Drosophila melanogaster: one gene and its partners. The protein of the gene in region 1 interacts with the protein of each later gene in a pairwise test. Each region holds a gene or a part of one and is shown in the gene's direction. Other genes may lie near its edges.

Region 1 (4,453 bases):
TTACCATTCAAAAAGTGTTATGTACCGAATCCCGTATATACGGGATAAATTAATTAATTAATAATATTAATTTTTCCGATGACAATGTAAATATTAAGTGCATGTATCCCTCGTCAGCTTTCCTGCTAAACGGCGGCTGTCAAGCATTCCAGCCAACTGCCACTTGGATACCCAAAAAGCCAGAGATCTTTAGGAGGAAACCAGAACAAGATCACCTCGGGTGGTCGGAGGACGTCACTCAAATTGAAGTCCGGCAAATGAGATTTGCCCGGCACCGGAGTGTAGAGCATGCAGAGAGGGCGAATGGAATCCATATCCGCAGCCCAATCTTCATCATCTTCGTCTGCGAGTTGAAGTTGTTGGATTTTTAATTAAGCGTGGCCTGCACCCGAGGCTTTTCGTCGAGTAGCTCTTCGGGACACGGGAAGTACGGCGATCTCGGCGGAACAGGTCTTGTTAGTAATTTTTAATTTGAGCTCTTCTGACAGCCAGCTGTCATATAAATTTAATTGAATTTACATTTTTATTAATTGCCAAGTCTGCTAGTGAGCCCAGTCTCGATCTCGTAGTGCTACCCGTTGGCATGAATGGGAGATGAGTTGCTTAAGCCGACTGGCTACTCATCAGACCATCAGCCCATCCACATCAACATCCCCATCCACTTCCACTCTCTGAATGAATTTAATTTGAGATGATTTGTTGATGGTTTCGTTGTGGTGATTTCTTGCTGACTAATTTAATGTGATTTTTAAATTGCCAGACCGAGGCAGAGTGTGTGGCCTGCGCAGGGGAATCAGAATCTCATCGGGAGATTGATTGGGCTCATGGGAGTGGGGGCAGCGTTTTTACGGAATTAATGAGATGACACGCCTCTCGCTGGGATGCGAAACCCCCTCGTGATCATTATGAACTAATCTAATTTGCAAGCCCGCGATGACAATCGAAGACGGAAGAGAAGTCCCCTCGATCCTTGCCCACCTGGGCAACAGCGCTAACGAGGACGCTTCTCCTCGAAGGCCCCCTCCAGTTTAATTCGCAAATCAAACAACCGCAGGGCAGAGATCGGAAATTCGCGCATAAGTAAATTAAAAATAAATTTATGTCCCGACCAGTGAGGGGGTCAGGAAACGCATGTCCAGAGGGAAGGAGCGTGTGTTAACCGGTTTCGGGACGAACGCGAATGCAAATCCAATTAAAATTTCGCAAGCGATCAATGGGCGAGGGGTGGAGGGCGGATCGCATCCTGCGAATGGCGCTAAGCCGTAAAACGAAGCTGTGCGCTGATTTAAAACACTGCGGGGCGTGCTTATTGATTAAATACAAATTGCGTTCATTCATCATCAGCTCTAGGGTCTGCTTGATATTGGTGTTTTTATTGTTGCTGCTCTGGCTGGCAATTAAATTACGATTTGAGGTGGATGCTACGCTCGTTTTGCAAATAAAATCCAATTTCACAGTCCTCTAAAATATAGGACTAAGATGCAAAACTAAGATGCAGTTTGAATCCCATCACATTTCGCGCCAAGGGCTGCCAACCTGGGTGAACGGTTTTGTGGTGTTAGTGCGATATCTTAGATATTTTCATTTAATCGATTCCTCTCGATAAGCCATCGATATTTTTTGTATAATGTCTTGCTTTGTTGTTTACAAATTCGTTTTTATGTTACGCAGTTCGTCCGTGCTAAATGATACACATGAAAGTAAATTGCATCAGATTAAGTTACATCGAATACTTCTCCACAATTACAGATGTGAATAATCCGCCAGAGGTGTTGTAAATTTATGAATACCAAGGGCTGCGTACAAAACAGTAGTGCAATTCAGTGGCAATGCCAGGCACCAGTGACACACGACGACTGGTGGACGCCCTGGACGAGGATGACGAGATTCTGGGCACGGAGGGCAGCTTCGTTCCCGCTTTTCGTCCGCAGGACCACCATGCGGATGAGCAATGTCTCATGGAACGCCAGCAGGACGAGGTAGTTTTGGTGTCCAACGAACCCGAGAGTGGACGACTCTTCACCTACCTCGTGTTCTACCTGTTGGGCATTGGTACCATGACCCCGTGGAATTTCTTTGTGACTGCGGAAGATGTAAGTTTAACGAGTGGAAATTTCCGCACCCGCATCCTAGTCAATTTAACTGAACTTCGGACATATCAATTCCAAACAGCTGAACAACTGGGCCAAGCGCAATTCTAAGGCGCGGTGCTTATCAGCTTTGTCGTCGTTTCTTTACGACCCACACCCAGACGAAAACTCTCTTTTTTGATTTTCTTTGTTTTCCGCTGACTTACGCTTTAACCCTGTTCGCTTCTCTTTCAGTACTGGAAGTACAAGTTCCGGAATGCATCGATTAATAACACAGACCTGGAGGAAGAGCTCACCCCGTTGCAGAAGAGTTTTACCTGCGACTTGGCTCTCACGGCCACTATTTCTGGGACTACATTTCTGCTGCTAAACGCCATTTTCGGACACCATGTGTCCCTGCGCACCAAGATGTTAGGAACGCTGTGGATGATCCTCATCCTTTTCGGGGTTACAACTGGCTTCGTGGAGATCAACACAGACACGTGGCAGGAACAGTTTTTCCTAATCACTCTCATCATTGTAGTGCTGCTAAATAGTGGGTACCATGAAGTACTCCTTGAGTGTTTACTTAATATTTATTATATATAGTATCTGCGGCTACAATGTCGGGAGCCCTCTACGGAGTCGCTGGTCTATTTCCCTCCGAGTTTATCACCGCTGTGGTTAGCGGACAGGCTCTTGGTGGTATCCTCACAGCCCTGGCCTTCATTCTTGTGCTTGCATTCGACACGGGTCCCAATACCACTGCATTCATCTTCTTCATTGTGGGAGGAGTGCTCATCCTGCTTTGCATTGTGTGCTACGTAATCCTGGCTCGAAAGCCTTTCTTTAGGTATTATCTCGAAGGTGGCGACAAGTACAAGGTCATCCGGGCAGTGCCCTCGCACAACCGGAATGGAAGCGCTGAGGGCTTGCCGCTTGAGCCTATTTTGCGTCAGGTCATGTCGAAGATCTATCTGCATGCCATTTCCCTAGCGCTCCTCTATACCACGACCCTGTCTGTCTATCCGGCAGTTACAGTGCTTATGCAGTCAGAGTACGGCCACAGCGTGTGGACAGGTAAACAGAAAACCTATTCTTTTTGTTCGTGCCTCATATGCGGTGTTCTTACAGATGTTTATTTTCTGCCCGTCGTGAACTACCTGATATTTAACTGCGGTGACTATTTTGGTCGTCTGTTTGCTGGCTGGATGGAGCGACCATTAAACCAGAACACTTCGCTACTATTTATTGTAGTGCGCATGGCGTTTGTTCCGTTATTTCTATGTTCAAACTCCAGCGAACACAGCTTTCTGCCAGTTTTGGTAAAACACGACTATACTTTCATAGCGATGATGGTAATGTTTGCCTTGTCCAACGGATATTTTACGAACATACTACTTATAATGGCGCCTAAACGCGTAAAGCAGCATGAAAAGGAGCTGGCTTCGTCGATAATGGCAGCTGCTTTGAGCTGTGGCATGGCTGTGGGATCACTGCTCAGCCTTGTATTTGTTCAAATGCTTTGAATTAGCCAACAAAATAAGTCTGCCCATAGTGCCTTCGGGAGTTTCAGAATCTTAAGCATTATAGTGATAGTTAACTTGATATTGGTTGCTCTTCCAACTACTTAGGGGGTGTTAATGTTTTTACTTTTGTTACAAGTCTACTGACTGAAATTATTTACACAGCGAAATTTTATTTAAATTTTTTCCAAAACGAAGTGTTATTTAATATTTTGAGTTATTTTGATGCTGTGTGTTGTTTTCCAAATTTTACTCATTTTTTATTTTAACAAGTTTACTATATCGGGATGCCTAGATTTAAGGTTTAAAGTTTTCATTATATACTAGGAATAAGACGATATTAAAAAAATTAGAACAATTAATTTTTCTTGTTTAACGTTTATTTCGGGTTTTCTGTGGATCACAACAACAATGTGGATAGATTTTATTGGATTGCTTTTGTCATTAATCATTGAATTAATTAATGAACTCCATCGTAGCGCGGTCTGTGAAGAGTTGTGTTTAAAATATACTTAGACTAGAAATCTAGTGGCGAATTGTAGTATGTGCATATATCGAGGGTATACTGTACCTATAAGTACACAGCAACACTTAGTTGCATTGCATAAATAAATGTCTCAAGTGAGCGTGATATAAGATCACCCATTTATGCTTTAAGCTAAGTCAGCATCCCCACGCTGGCCGCTGGCCATATATGCGCATAAGCTCTCTCTCTCTCTCTCTCTCTCTCTCTCTCTCTTATACATATATATATACGCTGCTCTTCTGCCGCTGTCGACGGCGGCGCAGTCGCAGTATTTAGGTAAGATTAGACACTCTGTAGAGGTTAAGCGGGCAGAACCGTTTCTGCTACTCGAA
Region 2 (4,969 bases), on another chromosome or scaffold:
GAGTCTCCTGCTTCGGAAAGCATCCCAAGCAACTTTCCACCTTGGCCACCGGCGCCTATGACGGCGAAGTGCGCATTTGGGACTTGGCGAATCGTATCAGCTCTCGGAACTTTGTGGCCCACGACGGTTTCGTTCGCGGCATTGCTTACACCCAGAACGGAGGTCGCATTTTCACCGTGGGAGATGATAAAACCATCAAGGTTTGGAAAGCAGAGGCTCCGGAAGTCGGCGAGGATGAGGTGCCGGTGAACACTATACTGAGTAAATTTGGACTGCACGGCATCTCGCACAATCGCAGGGATAACAAGTTCGCCACCTGTGGCGAGGTATGCGCCATTTGGGACGAAAGGCACAACGATCCTTTGAAGACATTGAAGTGGGGCGTCGATACCCTTCACACCATATCCTATAACCCCGTGGAAACAAGCATCCTGGCGTGCTGTGCCAGCGATCGCAGCATTATCCTGTACGATCAGAGAGAGGCGCAGCCACTAAGGAAGGTCGTCCTAACCATGAAGAGCAACAAGCTCGCGTGGAATCCCATGGAGGCGTTCAACTTCACAGTGGCCAACGAGGATTGCAAGTGAGTAAAACGGCCATACGAAGAGGATGTGTTGCTAAAATCTTTATTTCTTACAGCCTTTATACCTTTGACACTCGCAAGCTGCAAACGCCGCTGAAGGTTCACTTTGACCATGTTTCCGCTGTCACCGATGTTGACTACTCGCCCACTGGCAAGGAATTCGTCTCGGCCAGCTACGACAAGACCATTCGGATCTACAATGCCCACCACAGTCACTCGCGGGATATTTACCACACAAAACGCATGCAGCATGTGGTCTGCGTGGCCTGGTCCCTCGATAATCGATACGTTTTCTCCGGCTCCGACGAAATGAACGTCCGCATGTGGAAGGCGAATGCCTCCGAAAAGCTGGGCGTCATCCGTCCACGTGAGCGCGTCAATTTCAATTACCAGGAGGCGCTGAAGCAAAAGTATGCCGCTCATCCGCAGATCAAGCGCATCGCGCGCCATCGCCAGGTGCCGCGTCACGTGCTCAATGCACAGAAGAAGATGCGCACGGTCAAGGAGAAGGAGCAGGTCAAGGAGGCCAATGTGCGCAAGCACACCAAGAAGAGCAAGAAGGTGCCCTACGTCAGCGAGAAAAAGAAGCATGTGCTGAAGGAGGAGGTGTGAGGATGATTGCTAACGACTGTAGTTGGATAAGTTTGAATAAAATTGATTTTTGTAAGGAGACTATGTATGTATATATTAAGAAGCCTAATCTCAATTGAGTTTCTCACTTTCTATCATTGTTCTCAAGTGACTTTCAGTTTGGTCAAGTCAAACCGAAGTTATCAGTGAATTTGCTTAGTTTAAACTATTGTTTGGCTTTAATTCAGTGATACTAGAAGAAAGAAGATGTTGATAAGTTCTAAGGAATACTCTCCTGTTGCTCTAGAGAGAAAACTCATTTGCTTTGCCATGCAGCAACGTTTCGCGGAAATTTGAAATTCAATTCGTATCCGATAAGCCCTCGCGGGCGATAACGTTTGGGGAAAATCGGAGAGACGCGTCCATTTCTAGGGGATTCTCGATTATAAAAGGTTGCCAGCCCCACCGTTGGTGCTCAGTATTTGTTCGTTTGTTGTTACGGCAGCCGCCAGTCGGTCGTTAGTTTTTGTTTTCGTTCATTTGTTTATACTCGCGCGGCACTCGGCCCCCCTCCCGTTCCCACATAACCCGTTTGAAAGGCATCAACTGAGAGTCATTGAAATCATGGAGGCACTGGGGGATCTCTTGGCGCCACACAGCGAACTAATCGCCAAGGTAGCCGGCACCATAACTACCCTGCAATTTCTGTCCGGAGTGGTTCTGATGAACGACATCCGCAAGAAGGGTAGCAGCGACGTCTACCCGGTGGGCCCATTTCTCTTCGGAGTGGTGCTGTAAGTAACCTAATTGGGATTCCGTGATGCTCCACTGCATGCGACATCGAAAAAAAAACTAGTGGGCAGGGGGCAGGAAAAGCGAGTGAAAAGAACAAAAGCCAACGCATCTGTGTGGGAATTGATTAAATTTTAGAACTGTCGCCATGACAGCACAGAATCGAGTCTCTTCAAGGCCGCCAGTGAATCGGTTTTGCACACAATTCAAGAAGATAACAATGGAATCGATTACATCACTGCGTTGGCCAAATGGGAATTACACTTCGATCATCCGCGACCGTTACATTTCGAAATCGTTAACCTTGTCGAAAATCCGCCAGCAGCACTTTTGCCGCCTTATCGATGCGAGAACCCTCCAAACACGTAGCTCTTATCTAGAGTGTATAATTTTAGAGCTCCTCTATTACGAATGCTGATCCGGTAGAGTCTGTCCAAATCTGGGAGAGCCGCTAATCGTTTATACGACGGGCGAAAGATACGCGACTCGCCCTCTCCACGTGCTCGGCATAAAGCGGGGCTGCCCAGATTCCAAAGGGGGTGGGCCACCCAGTGGTGGTGATGGGAATATCTTGTCATCTATAAATATAATCTTCTCTAATTATAGCCGTAAGGCTTGTCCATTACTGCATATGAATAATAGTGTTTGCTTAGCAAAACATAATATTTTTTTAACTATAGTTTCCGTAATAATACATTTCTTTAAACAATTCCAAATTCCTGCTGGCTAAAGCACTAAATGTAGATGAACTCTCGAGGAATTTACCTTTTTATTTTTAAATCGTAAACTTTCCACTGTTTGTTTTGAACATCTCAAAAGATCATAAAGTGCCATATGGCAGCAAGTGAATGAGTACCATCAAGTGAGTGTGCCATCACTGCGCCGGGGCTTACTTGGGGGTGGTTTTCCGGAAGGTGTTAACTTGGACTGTGTCAAGTGTAAGGACCCGCAGACATGCAAGCGAAGCAACAGTTGTATGCTAAACGAATTCCACTCCACCCAATGGGCGCTCGAGGTCTCGGTCAAGGGCAGGTTCCTCGGCCAGTTTGCATTTCATTTCGCCCAGCCCGGGTGTATTTCACCATTGTTGTGGGTTTGTTTATAGGTTGATCGATGATAATGCTGATTATTTGTTGAGCGTTGAGCTCCTTATCAAATGCTACGTGTACCATGATTTGCACGCCGGCCCTATTATGCTTATTTATCTATCTCCACCTAGTATAGAATCTGATAACGCAATTAATAAGTGTAAACTGGTTTTTTTTTTCAATGAAGTGGTAGACTGGAGCACTTTAAATGAAAACTAGTTCCATTTCTCTTGATTCGAACTTTCTGTAGCGACTTACTGCTGGAAAACTGGTTCGGGCAGGGTCAATTAATTTGAATTAATTATAATATCCTCAGAAAACTATGCTCTTATCTACAAGTTAACTGGAATTTATAAAATTTCCAGCCTTATATTGAAGAATATTTTAAAATGAATATGAATGGTAACAGTATTACATTTTTGTTTAAATATAAAAACCAAATTTTGTCCTAAATTAAAGTAACTAATTAACAAATTGTTGAACTTTCTAGGACCGTTCTCAGCTTGAAGCTGGCCAACATTATGAATGATGCTGCCATGATCAATACGAATTTAATCGGCCTGGTGATAAACTTCGTCTTCCTCTTCGGATTTTACTACTACGCCTCGAGCGCCAGCAGGAGCAAGATCTGGAAGCAGATTGGCTATTCCTCGGTGTTCCTATTGGCCATCACCGCGTATGCCAACTTCGAGGATCCCGCCAAGATTGAGTTCCGCCTGGGAATGCTGATCACCGGCATCCTGGTTTGGATGGTGGGCTCTCCCCTGCTGCATCTGCCGAAAATCATTGAGAAGAAGAGCACCGAGGGAATGCCGTTCCCGATTATCTTTGCCGGTAATCTGGTGGCATTTTCCTGGACGCTGTATGCCATCTCCATCAAGAATACTGTGATGGTGGTAAGTTAGCAATTAATTCTATTAAACGAGAATGTAAATTTGAACCGAAAATTCTTCTATTTCAGCTGCAGAACCTTTTGCTGCTGGTCCTGGGCGGCATTCAGCTCTCCATGTTCGCTATTTATCCCAACAAACCGGCTGCCGAGAAGCCCAAGGACAGCAAGAAGGACAAATAATTGAAATCGAACGCTTTACCTAGAAAAAAGGACAAATAATGGGTTGTTGCAACAACATTACCAAGTAATAAGTAGCTAGGCTTTGAGGAATAATCAAATTATTGCTTGAATTTACACTAAACCGCCACAAGAAAACTAAATTTGAGCTAAACGAATTATTTTTCTATATAGGAAATATTTTCTTAGAACAAATCCAGCTAACTAAGTTGCTAGCTAACCTAGAATTGTTATTATATTGACTATTATTGTATATAACTACTACATACTTGCAATTTTTGACAATAATTCAAATCTTCCAAATGCATACGTATTTATAAAGTCAACATAATATGTAATAAAACAATCTGTTACAAAATCGAGTGAGTTGATGGTAAATGCCATTGGGCATTTCCCGTTTAGGCTGCTGGCACCGTGGAATTGTAGTGGGCACCCAATTGGTATATGTGGCGGTGGTAGCAGATGATCAGCGGTGATCCACCGAATTCCTCTTGCCCCAGGAGCGTCGGTGCTCCTTCCGCTTGGATAACTTCAATGGGCACCCGGAGTAGCGATGAGATGGCCTTCAGTTCTATGTGGCCACCCCAAGCGTGAGTTTTTGCTATGTCGTGGCAGTATTGTTCGAATTGTTGGTCGTTCAGAATGTCTCCTGTTTCCGGGTGGATCATGTATGAGATAAGCGAGTCCTTGTGAGCACGCACATAATTGGCAGTTTCCTCCCGCAACTCCTGAACACTGTGACCTTTGGTGCAATTATTATGGATTAGTTTTGGTGCTGTGTGGACTGAATCGTGAAGCATTACCTGGAAGAGCATTTACGATAAGTTGGTGTCTGATGGACTGATATAAGCAGTCGCCATCGGAGGG
Region 3 (4,485 bases), on another chromosome or scaffold:
TAGCAACATCGACAGCGCCAAATGCCAGAAGCTAAAGAGATTTGTGATCGTAGGCTTGCTGATCACCATTGGCATTTTGAGCTGGCACTTCTACGGTGAGTTGTCTCTTTAAGCTCTCTTCCGTAAGCGAACGGACAACGGTTTTTTCTCTTAGAGTACTTCCACAGCAAGCCGCTGCCCAAAACGCCGGATGACGTCTTGACCCTCTCGAAGAATCTGTACGCGGAGGAGACCGAGGTCAGTCCATACCTCTACAAGGTGAATCTCCAGGGGAAGACCACTTCAGGTGCTCATGACGATCGCGCCCCTAGAAAGTAAGTACCTAGTTGCGCCGCCTAATGAATTTTATCATTAAAATATTTAATTTGATGATAAGGCAATTTAATTAAAATAATTATTAATTCATTAAATACTAAAGCTGTCTAATAAACATTATTTCATATTTCTTGAAATTCATTTCGTGAATTCATTTCGTAAGATTTGGTAAATATTGTCTGAGACTGCTTGTCACAACATTAGAACTGAGCTAATCAATAAAACGCGCGCTCCGAATTTTGAAGCTTCGGAGTTTTAGGAGTCAGGAGATTAAAAGAAGCAGCAAAATCCAGTTTTCGGCTAGACTACAAGACATAATTACTTTAAGTATAAAGAACTAACCTTGATAATCAAATTTACCTATACCTAAGCTTAAAAAAGGCAAACATTGTATTCGAAAATATTAGATGATTGTAACAAAGCAAACAATTCGCTTCACTGTGAAGAATAAATCAAATGCTAATCCAAAACATAATGTATCAAATTACAATATTTGTAAAGCTCTCCTTTAGTACACTGAATTCTTCTACCAGGTGGATCCAATCCAAAAGCAAACTGAAAACAAATTACACCTTTCGTGACGAGCTATTTGTTTTCCCGTGCCTTGAATATATTGATATATTGATATATTGATCAAGGTTAATTTAAATATAGCATGATGGATATCTTGGTATTAGATTGTGAAAGTTAATGTGGTTTTCGTCATTCCATCTTTGGCGACAATGTATTTAATTGTATTTACGTTTTAAAGACTATTTTCAACTAATTGTAGGAACTGCAGTCCAGACAATATAAGAGTAAAATCTTGTTGATATTAAAAAAAAATCAAGCCCTAAGAAAATTTCGCACTGCAATTATAGGTGTTCAATTATACAATATTTTGTTCACAATTTATTGTCAATTTTTTTTTCAAATCACGTCACAGTTTCCTGTTGAAGTTTTTTTTGTTAAACACAGTATGGTTTAAGCCCAATTTGGAAGTAATTATATTACAGTCGAGACTTTAATACAAATGACGCTATATTCGCTGAAACAAACAAATTAGTAAGTGCGTGATTAAATTATTTGTTTAGTACTTCCAGATGAGAGATTCAAGACACGATGTTAGTAATTAAAAGAGACTTTGGATGAAATTCCTTAAGTACCAAAAATTAGTAGGCTTGCCACGTGCCATATGTTCCCACAAAAATATGAATTGAATTTTAAATATCTATAGATACTAGAAGTATTGTGGAAAAGAATAATTGGTTTCATTCATGCACGTTTAAAGACTGATTCAATTGTAAACCTTTTTATAAAATGAATTAAAATATAAATGATTATCCAAGGTAAAACAGAATATTAGTTTTTCAGTTACATTTTATTTATATTCGTTTGGCTTAGCTTTATTTCTTTAGGAAACTAATTGTTTTCCTACTTTGACTGGCCGCATAAATTATACCATATGCTGCACATTGTCATTTATGTCCTCAAACTTGAAATTTGGCATGGGGGCCCAACGAATCCGCTCCTGAGTAAACAAAAGGCTGCTCGCGAGGTGAAAACAAACCACAACAATGATCCCCCAGAGAGCGCCGAAAACGAAAATAATTGGAGAGGGAGAGCGTGTTATCCAATTTTTCGGGGGAACTACTTGTGTGTTCAGCAAGCATATGAGCGGCCAGATCCGCAGTGGGGCAAACCCGCTCAGTATCGTTTCAGCCATAAAGGTAGTTGGTCGGAAAGAGCAGATAAAACTCGATCAACGCGAGAGTTTTGGCTGAAGATAAACGGCGAGCATCGGGAAAGTAAACAGAGGCGCAAAAACAAATGTTTGACTAATCTTAATTGGATAATTATATCACAATGGACGCAGTGCAGCAGCAAACAAACAGCACTAGCAACATCGACAGCGCCAAATGCCAGAAGCTAAAGAGATTTGTGATCGTAGGCTTGCTGATCACCATTGGCATTTTGAGCTGGCACTTCTACGGTGAGTTGTCTCTTTAAGCTCTCTTCCGTAAGCGAACGGACAACGGTTTTTTCTCTTAGAGTACTTCCACAGCAAGCCGCTGCCCAAAACGCCGGATGACGTCTTGACCCTCTCGAAGAATCTGTACGCGGAGGAGACCGAGGTCAGTCCATACCTCTACAAGGTGAATCTCCAGGGGAAGACCACTTCAGGTGCTCATGACGATCGCGCCCCTAGAAAGTAAGTACCTAGTTGCGCCGCCTAATGAATTTTATCATTAAAATATTTAATTTGATGATAAGGCAATTTAATTAAAATAATTATTAATTCATTAAATACTAAAGCTGTCTAATAAACATTATTTCATATTTCTTGAAATCTTCCAGCCTCTTTGAATTGCACCAGGATCTGCTGGCCAGGGATGCTAACTCCACCACCGCTCTGCTAATGAGGCTCTTTGACAACTACGAGTTGGACGTGGCTGTGCAGGAGCATCCAACGCCGGAGCACGTCCAGGAGCAATATGATTTCCTTAGGGCCGTGATGGGTACGCGTGTGATGAAGCTGACCATGCGTTTTTTGGTACACAAGGGTGAGTAACCTTTAAATGAAATAAATCAGACTAGTATACCTATCCAATACCATCTAGATATTGTGAGCGTAGAATATGACGATCAGCTGCGTCTGCTGCAGGAGCTGTGGTTCACTCCCTACTCCAGAGGTCGTGGCATTGTGGGCAGTTCCAGTTTCGAGCACGTCTTCATGGCGGAGATTCGGGACCAGAAGGTCCTGGGCTTGCATAACTGGCTGTACTTTGCAGATCAGGAGCAACGTGGCAATGTGGACTACAAGGGCTGGCTGAACCACAAGGAAATGGGAAAGGTAAGGCTTAAAGACAAATGTAACAGATGATCCTTACAAAAGGGGATTGCTATATTTCCTCAGCACAACCAAATGGTTCTCAGCGTTCGCTACACGTTTCACAACATCAATAAGCCAGTCAACGGCTTCTTTGTGGGCATCTCGCCCGAACTGGACATGGCCCTGTACACCGCCTGCTTCCTGGCCACGGCGAAGGAGGAACCCTGCCACATCCAGTTGGGTCATGCCTCCGCCACGATTGTCTCCCACGAATGGAAATGGAACGGTATGCGCCTGATAGGAACCGTCTATCCGGACAGCTCCTAGATCACTCCAACCACCCATCTCGCAACCTCAGTCAAATTACTGACATTCGATTCGGTCGCACTGTTACCTCATCGAAATCAGCAAAAGGCTAACCTCCAAGCTCAAAGTCAAGTTCATTTTATTTTGCCACTTTATGAGTGCTTGGCCCAGTTGTCGCTGGCAATTGACGAGGATGTCAGTCAGGACATGAACAATGCCCATCTGCCTATCATTTTGGTTGTTTTGACAGGATTGCGTGGCGCAGAGCACTTACATCACGAAGTTGTTTATTAGTTCTAACATTAATAGTTATTACTGGCGGAAATTATGCAAGAGGCAAAAGCGTTTATTTTGAAGGAGCGAAAGGAGGAAAAGTGAGTGTGACGTTTTAGTATTATGCAGTCATTAAGCTCACCCTCGAAATGGATTCTACCCACTATAATTTTTATACCTTTGAATCTCTTGAACTAGCTAGTTGAAAATAAAATAACAAAATCAACTTATTTAAAATGGATTTATTAGTTATAAAACATGAATTTCCCTTCTTCGTTTAATTATGGAACACATGAGTAGAAGTACGTTGATTGAAGAAACTGTTGCTGGAGAACTCGGTGCTGACCCCTATTCATGGGCATCTAGATGGCGCTCGATGGTGACGGTCTCGTTGGCAATGTCCGCCTGCTGGACCACGGCCGGTGCACTCGACCTTCTGGCTGTGATGATGGTGGTCTGGGCCGGGGACAAGCTCTCCTCCCCCGAACCATTTTCAGCCAGGACCACAAAGGTCTCGCTGAGATCGGCCAATTCCGAGCAGGTTTCATCGTTGGACGAGCGCATCAGGCTGGGACTACTGATGGAGCACTCCAGCGTCAGGCGATCCTCGCAGTCGGGACTCCAGCTACTTTTTGCCGGCGGCTGACGCGGCAGGCTGTTGTGGCACAGCGGATTTTCCGCCGGCGACTGCTCCAGCCGCAGCTGCTGACCCCACAGCTCCACTGCCCGGGCGCGATTGTGGTCGGCCCGTTCCGGATACTCCTGTTCCGGCTGCTCCT
Region 4 (3,457 bases), on another chromosome or scaffold:
AATAACACAAGACTTTGCCCGAAATTGTATGCTATTACTACGAAAATATCAATATCAAACAAAGTGTAAGTAAACTTCATTAGAAGTGACACGGTTAGAATTATATAAAATCGATTGATCTTAGAATACGTTAAAGTTATTACGTCAAAAGGCATTAAAAACTGGACTGCATTTAAAACTGGACTACATTAAAAACTAAATACGAATGCCATTATTTTACCTTTCGTAACCAGGGGACAGTGGATGTTCAACATATCCGGCATTCCAAGCGATGGAAACCTATTTTCCTTACTTTGTGACCGCAATACCCTCTTATATGGTCGGCGTAATAGGTTTTACTTACGTATGTAGGTATTTGTATAATAGAAACACACACTTAAATCAGCCTCGAAAACGAGCAGATTACCATTTCTCGGTTCTCGGCCGGAGTCCACATCAGTCGCTATTCCACCGACGTCGATAACACTTAGATATCCGACATGTTTGCCCATATGCTGGACTTCCTGAATCGATCGCCACCGGATCCTGTGCGTCTTCCGTTGACCAGCAGCCACTGGCCGGTGTTGACCATCCTTGGAATCTATCTAGTCTTCATAAAAATAGTGGGTCCTTGGTTTATGCAGAATCAAAAGCCCTACAATCTGGATAGAGCTATCAAGATCTACAACATCGTGCAAATCGCATACAATGTCATTTTGTTAATATTTGTAAGTAATGCTCTTTTTTTTAACAAAAATATATTAATATTCATTATATGTATCTCCAAATTTAAAGAGTGTGCACTTCATGCTTGGTCCTGGCAACTATAACTTCAGTTGCATATCCAATCTGCCGTTGGATCATGAGTACAAGAACTGGGAGCGTTGGCTCAGTTACTCCTACTTCTTCAACAAGCTCATGGATCTGCTGGAGACTGTGTTCTTTATATTCAGAAAGAAGTATCGCCAGATATCGTTCCTGCACGTTTTCCACCACGTATACATGGTGTACATAGGCTTCTTGTACATGTATTATTATGGATACGGCGGCCATGGATTCTTCTTGATCACCTTCAACGTGGTGGTGCACACCATGATGTACACCTACTACTACCAGTCGTCCCTCAATCGGAACTCGGGTGGCGATCTCTGGTGGAAGAAATACATCACAGTCGTTCAGCTTGTCCAATTTGTTATTATATTCTCGCACAGCGTCTATATCCTCCGGCAAACTGATTGTCAAACATCACGATTATCGGCAACTTGGGGCTCACTGATATCTGTAGTATTTATAATTCTATTTAGTAACTTCTACGTTCGCACCTACATTCTTCCCAAGAAAACGAAATCGGCGGTGGGCCGATGAGCAAAACTAATTAAGATTTAATATCACTGTTCCTTACATTAATCAATGTCATTAATAAATGCTTTTGATACAACAAATTCATTTGTTTTATATCATTGTATATATCGTATATTATACATAGATATATATTTTACATAAAGCAATGGGAGATATTTGTTGGTTTCTAGAACTCTCTATCCACTCGACTGCTTAATGCTATTAAATATGCAAAATACCCCTTTAATTGGGTCTCGCCAGTATTTTATAAATGTAGAACACTTTTTTTGTTGTATTGACAATAATGTCAAAAGGAGTAATTTTGTAAATAATGGCACTGCTGATTAATAAAATGTTGAAAATAAAAACGTAGTTGAACTGTTACTTATATTGTATTTAGTTCGATTTGCAAAGCTTTAAGTATTCAAGTTGAAGGTTGATAGTGGGTTAAACATACCGGAAATTTGCACTAATGTAATTAGCAAATAGGTAATAGTATAGTGGCTATCGTGAAAGAAAGAAATCACAGAAGGTAAAAGTCAAGTCACTCGTTAAGTCGTGCGCGAAAATGTTCGAGGTGTTCGATAAGCCCTTCGCCGATCCTGTCCAGCTGCCGCTGGCGGGCAGTATCCGCACCTCGGTGATCATCATCACGGTGTATCTATTGTTTGTGCTCAAGCTGGGCAGGAAGCTGATGGACAAGCATGAGGCACTCCAGCTGCGAGGTGTGCTCAAGTTCTACAACATCGGACAAGTCCTGTTCAATTCGGTGATTTTTGTGTGGGTACGTAAGTCGAAGGATATCGATATACACAGTTTTTTAATCGTTTTCAATGGATTGCTCCATATTACCCAGGGCATCCATCTGTTATTCGTGCAGAAGCCGTACAACCTGAGCTGCATGCAAGTCCTGCCGCAGGATCATGAGCTAAAGTCCACGGAAAGGACACTGTCGTACATGTACCATCTGAACAAGGTGCTCGACCTGATGGACACCATATTCTTTGTGCTGCGCAAGAAGCAGCGCCAGATCACGTTCCTCCATGTGTTCCATCACGTCTTCATGGTCTTCACCTCGCACATGCTGATCCGATTCTACGGTTTTGGTGGCCATGTCTTCCTGATCTGCATGTTCAATGTTCTGGTGCACATCGTCATGTACGGCTACTACTACGCCTCGTCGCAGAGCCAGAATGTGCAGGAGAGCCTCTGGTGGAAGAAGTACCTTACCCTGGGCCAGCTGGTGCAGTTCCTCCTGATGTTCCTGCACTGCATGTACACCTATTTCCAGCCAAACTGCTCGGCGTCGCGGGGTGTCATCTATGTCATAAGTTCGGCCAGCGCCTTCATGTTTCTGATGTTCACCAAGTTCTACATAAAGACCTACATTCGGCCGAAAGAGGTCAAGTCCAAGGGCAAGGTCAACTGAATGCACCTGCTACACTGTGATCAAAAACTGGTAATTCGTATGTACATAACTATTGGGGTGCATAGGAATGAAGAGTGTCTTTCCAACTTTCATACAATTTTTGTTATAAAATTCCCACCTTTGATCCTGTTTTTTTTTTGTATTATTTAATAAGAATGTATTTGTAATCAACAAATATTTTATTATTACTTTTACAATACATTGGCTTCTTAAATTAAATTTGAATTATAAAGTGATACATCATTGGTTTCTCTGAGTGTACTCGACAATTTGCATATGCGCCGTTTGAATAATAGATGAATTCAAATGCATCGACAGTTAATTCAAATGCAGTCGAAAAGGTCAAGGAGTTAGACTCCGTCCGGAATAAATCCCATCGGCCACATCTCGACTACTCGTGGTTTCCATCGTCGAATCGAGGGGATTCCCCTTGGCACGTGATCTGCATGCTCCGCAGAACTTGGACCGAGCACGTCTCTGGACATTCCATGCTGCATTTAATTAGAATATTAGGAACGAGCCTGGCCCAGCACCGGCGATTTATGGCACCGGAAGGGTCACCCGTGGCCGGCCGAATTTGCATAGGAATCGCATGCGGCGAATCAGAGTCAAAGTGCCAGCTGAATAATTGCGGCCATGCGGCAACATTAAAGCGAAGCCGCAGTCAAGTGCAGTGGTTCCTGGTTGGGCACTAGCTTTTCGGGTCCT

What was found.
Region 2: the proteins of Ent1 (region 1) and CG7272 interact in a two-hybrid assay, tested with the Drosophila melanogaster proteins (one large-scale study listed by BioGRID).
Region 3: the proteins of Ent1 (region 1) and EndoU interact in a two-hybrid assay, tested with the Drosophila melanogaster proteins (one large-scale study listed by BioGRID).
Region 4: the proteins of Ent1 (region 1) and CG16904 interact in a two-hybrid assay, tested with the Drosophila melanogaster proteins (one large-scale study listed by BioGRID).

The regions. Positions count from the first base shown.
Region 1 is NT_033779.5:355,063-359,515, reverse strand, and holds Ent1 (equilibrative nucleoside transporter 1), read left to right. Parts: upstream 1-1,641; 5' UTR 1,642-1,829; coding exon 1,830-2,093; exon of another isoform or gene 2,094-2,187; intron 2,188-2,324; coding exon 2,325-2,625; exon of another isoform or gene 2,626-2,678; coding exon 2,679-3,149; exon of another isoform or gene 3,150-3,203; coding exon 3,204-3,598; 3' UTR 3,599-3,951; downstream 3,952-4,453.
Region 2 is NT_037436.4:15,499,314-15,504,282, forward strand, and holds CG7272 (uncharacterized protein), read left to right. Parts: upstream 1-1,624; 5' UTR 1,625-1,777; coding exon 1,778-1,947; intron 1,948-3,523; coding exon 3,524-3,929; intron 3,930-3,994; coding exon 3,995-4,105; 3' UTR 4,106-4,456; downstream 4,457-4,969. Other genes in the region: CG7275 (uncharacterized protein), read left to right, coding at 1-583, 640-1,195; CG7857 (uncharacterized protein), read right to left, coding at 4,501-4,844, 4,906-4,969.
Region 3 is NT_033777.3:15,906,433-15,910,917, forward strand, and holds EndoU (endoribonuclease U-specific), read left to right. Parts: upstream 1-1,965; 5' UTR 1,966-2,160; coding exon 2,161-2,287; intron 2,288-2,346; coding exon 2,347-2,506; intron 2,507-2,652; coding exon 2,653-2,858; intron 2,859-2,915; coding exon 2,916-3,148; intron 3,149-3,211; coding exon 3,212-3,454; 3' UTR 3,455-3,935; downstream 3,936-4,485. Other genes in the region: CG45105 (uncharacterized protein), read right to left, coding at 4,055-4,485. UniProt on the Drosophila melanogaster protein: Endoribonuclease that cleaves single-stranded RNAs at uridylates and releases products that have 2'-3'-cyclic phosphate termini. Preferentially cleaves single stranded RNA at poly-U sites with CU, UC and AU sites cleaved less efficiently.
Region 4 is NT_033777.3:9,815,389-9,818,845, reverse strand, and holds CG16904 (uncharacterized protein), read left to right. Parts: upstream 1-1,866; 5' UTR 1,867-1,888; coding exon 1,889-2,104; intron 2,105-2,176; coding exon 2,177-2,749; 3' UTR 2,750-2,918; downstream 2,919-3,457. Other genes in the region: CG9459 (uncharacterized protein), read left to right, coding at 480-707, 775-1,344.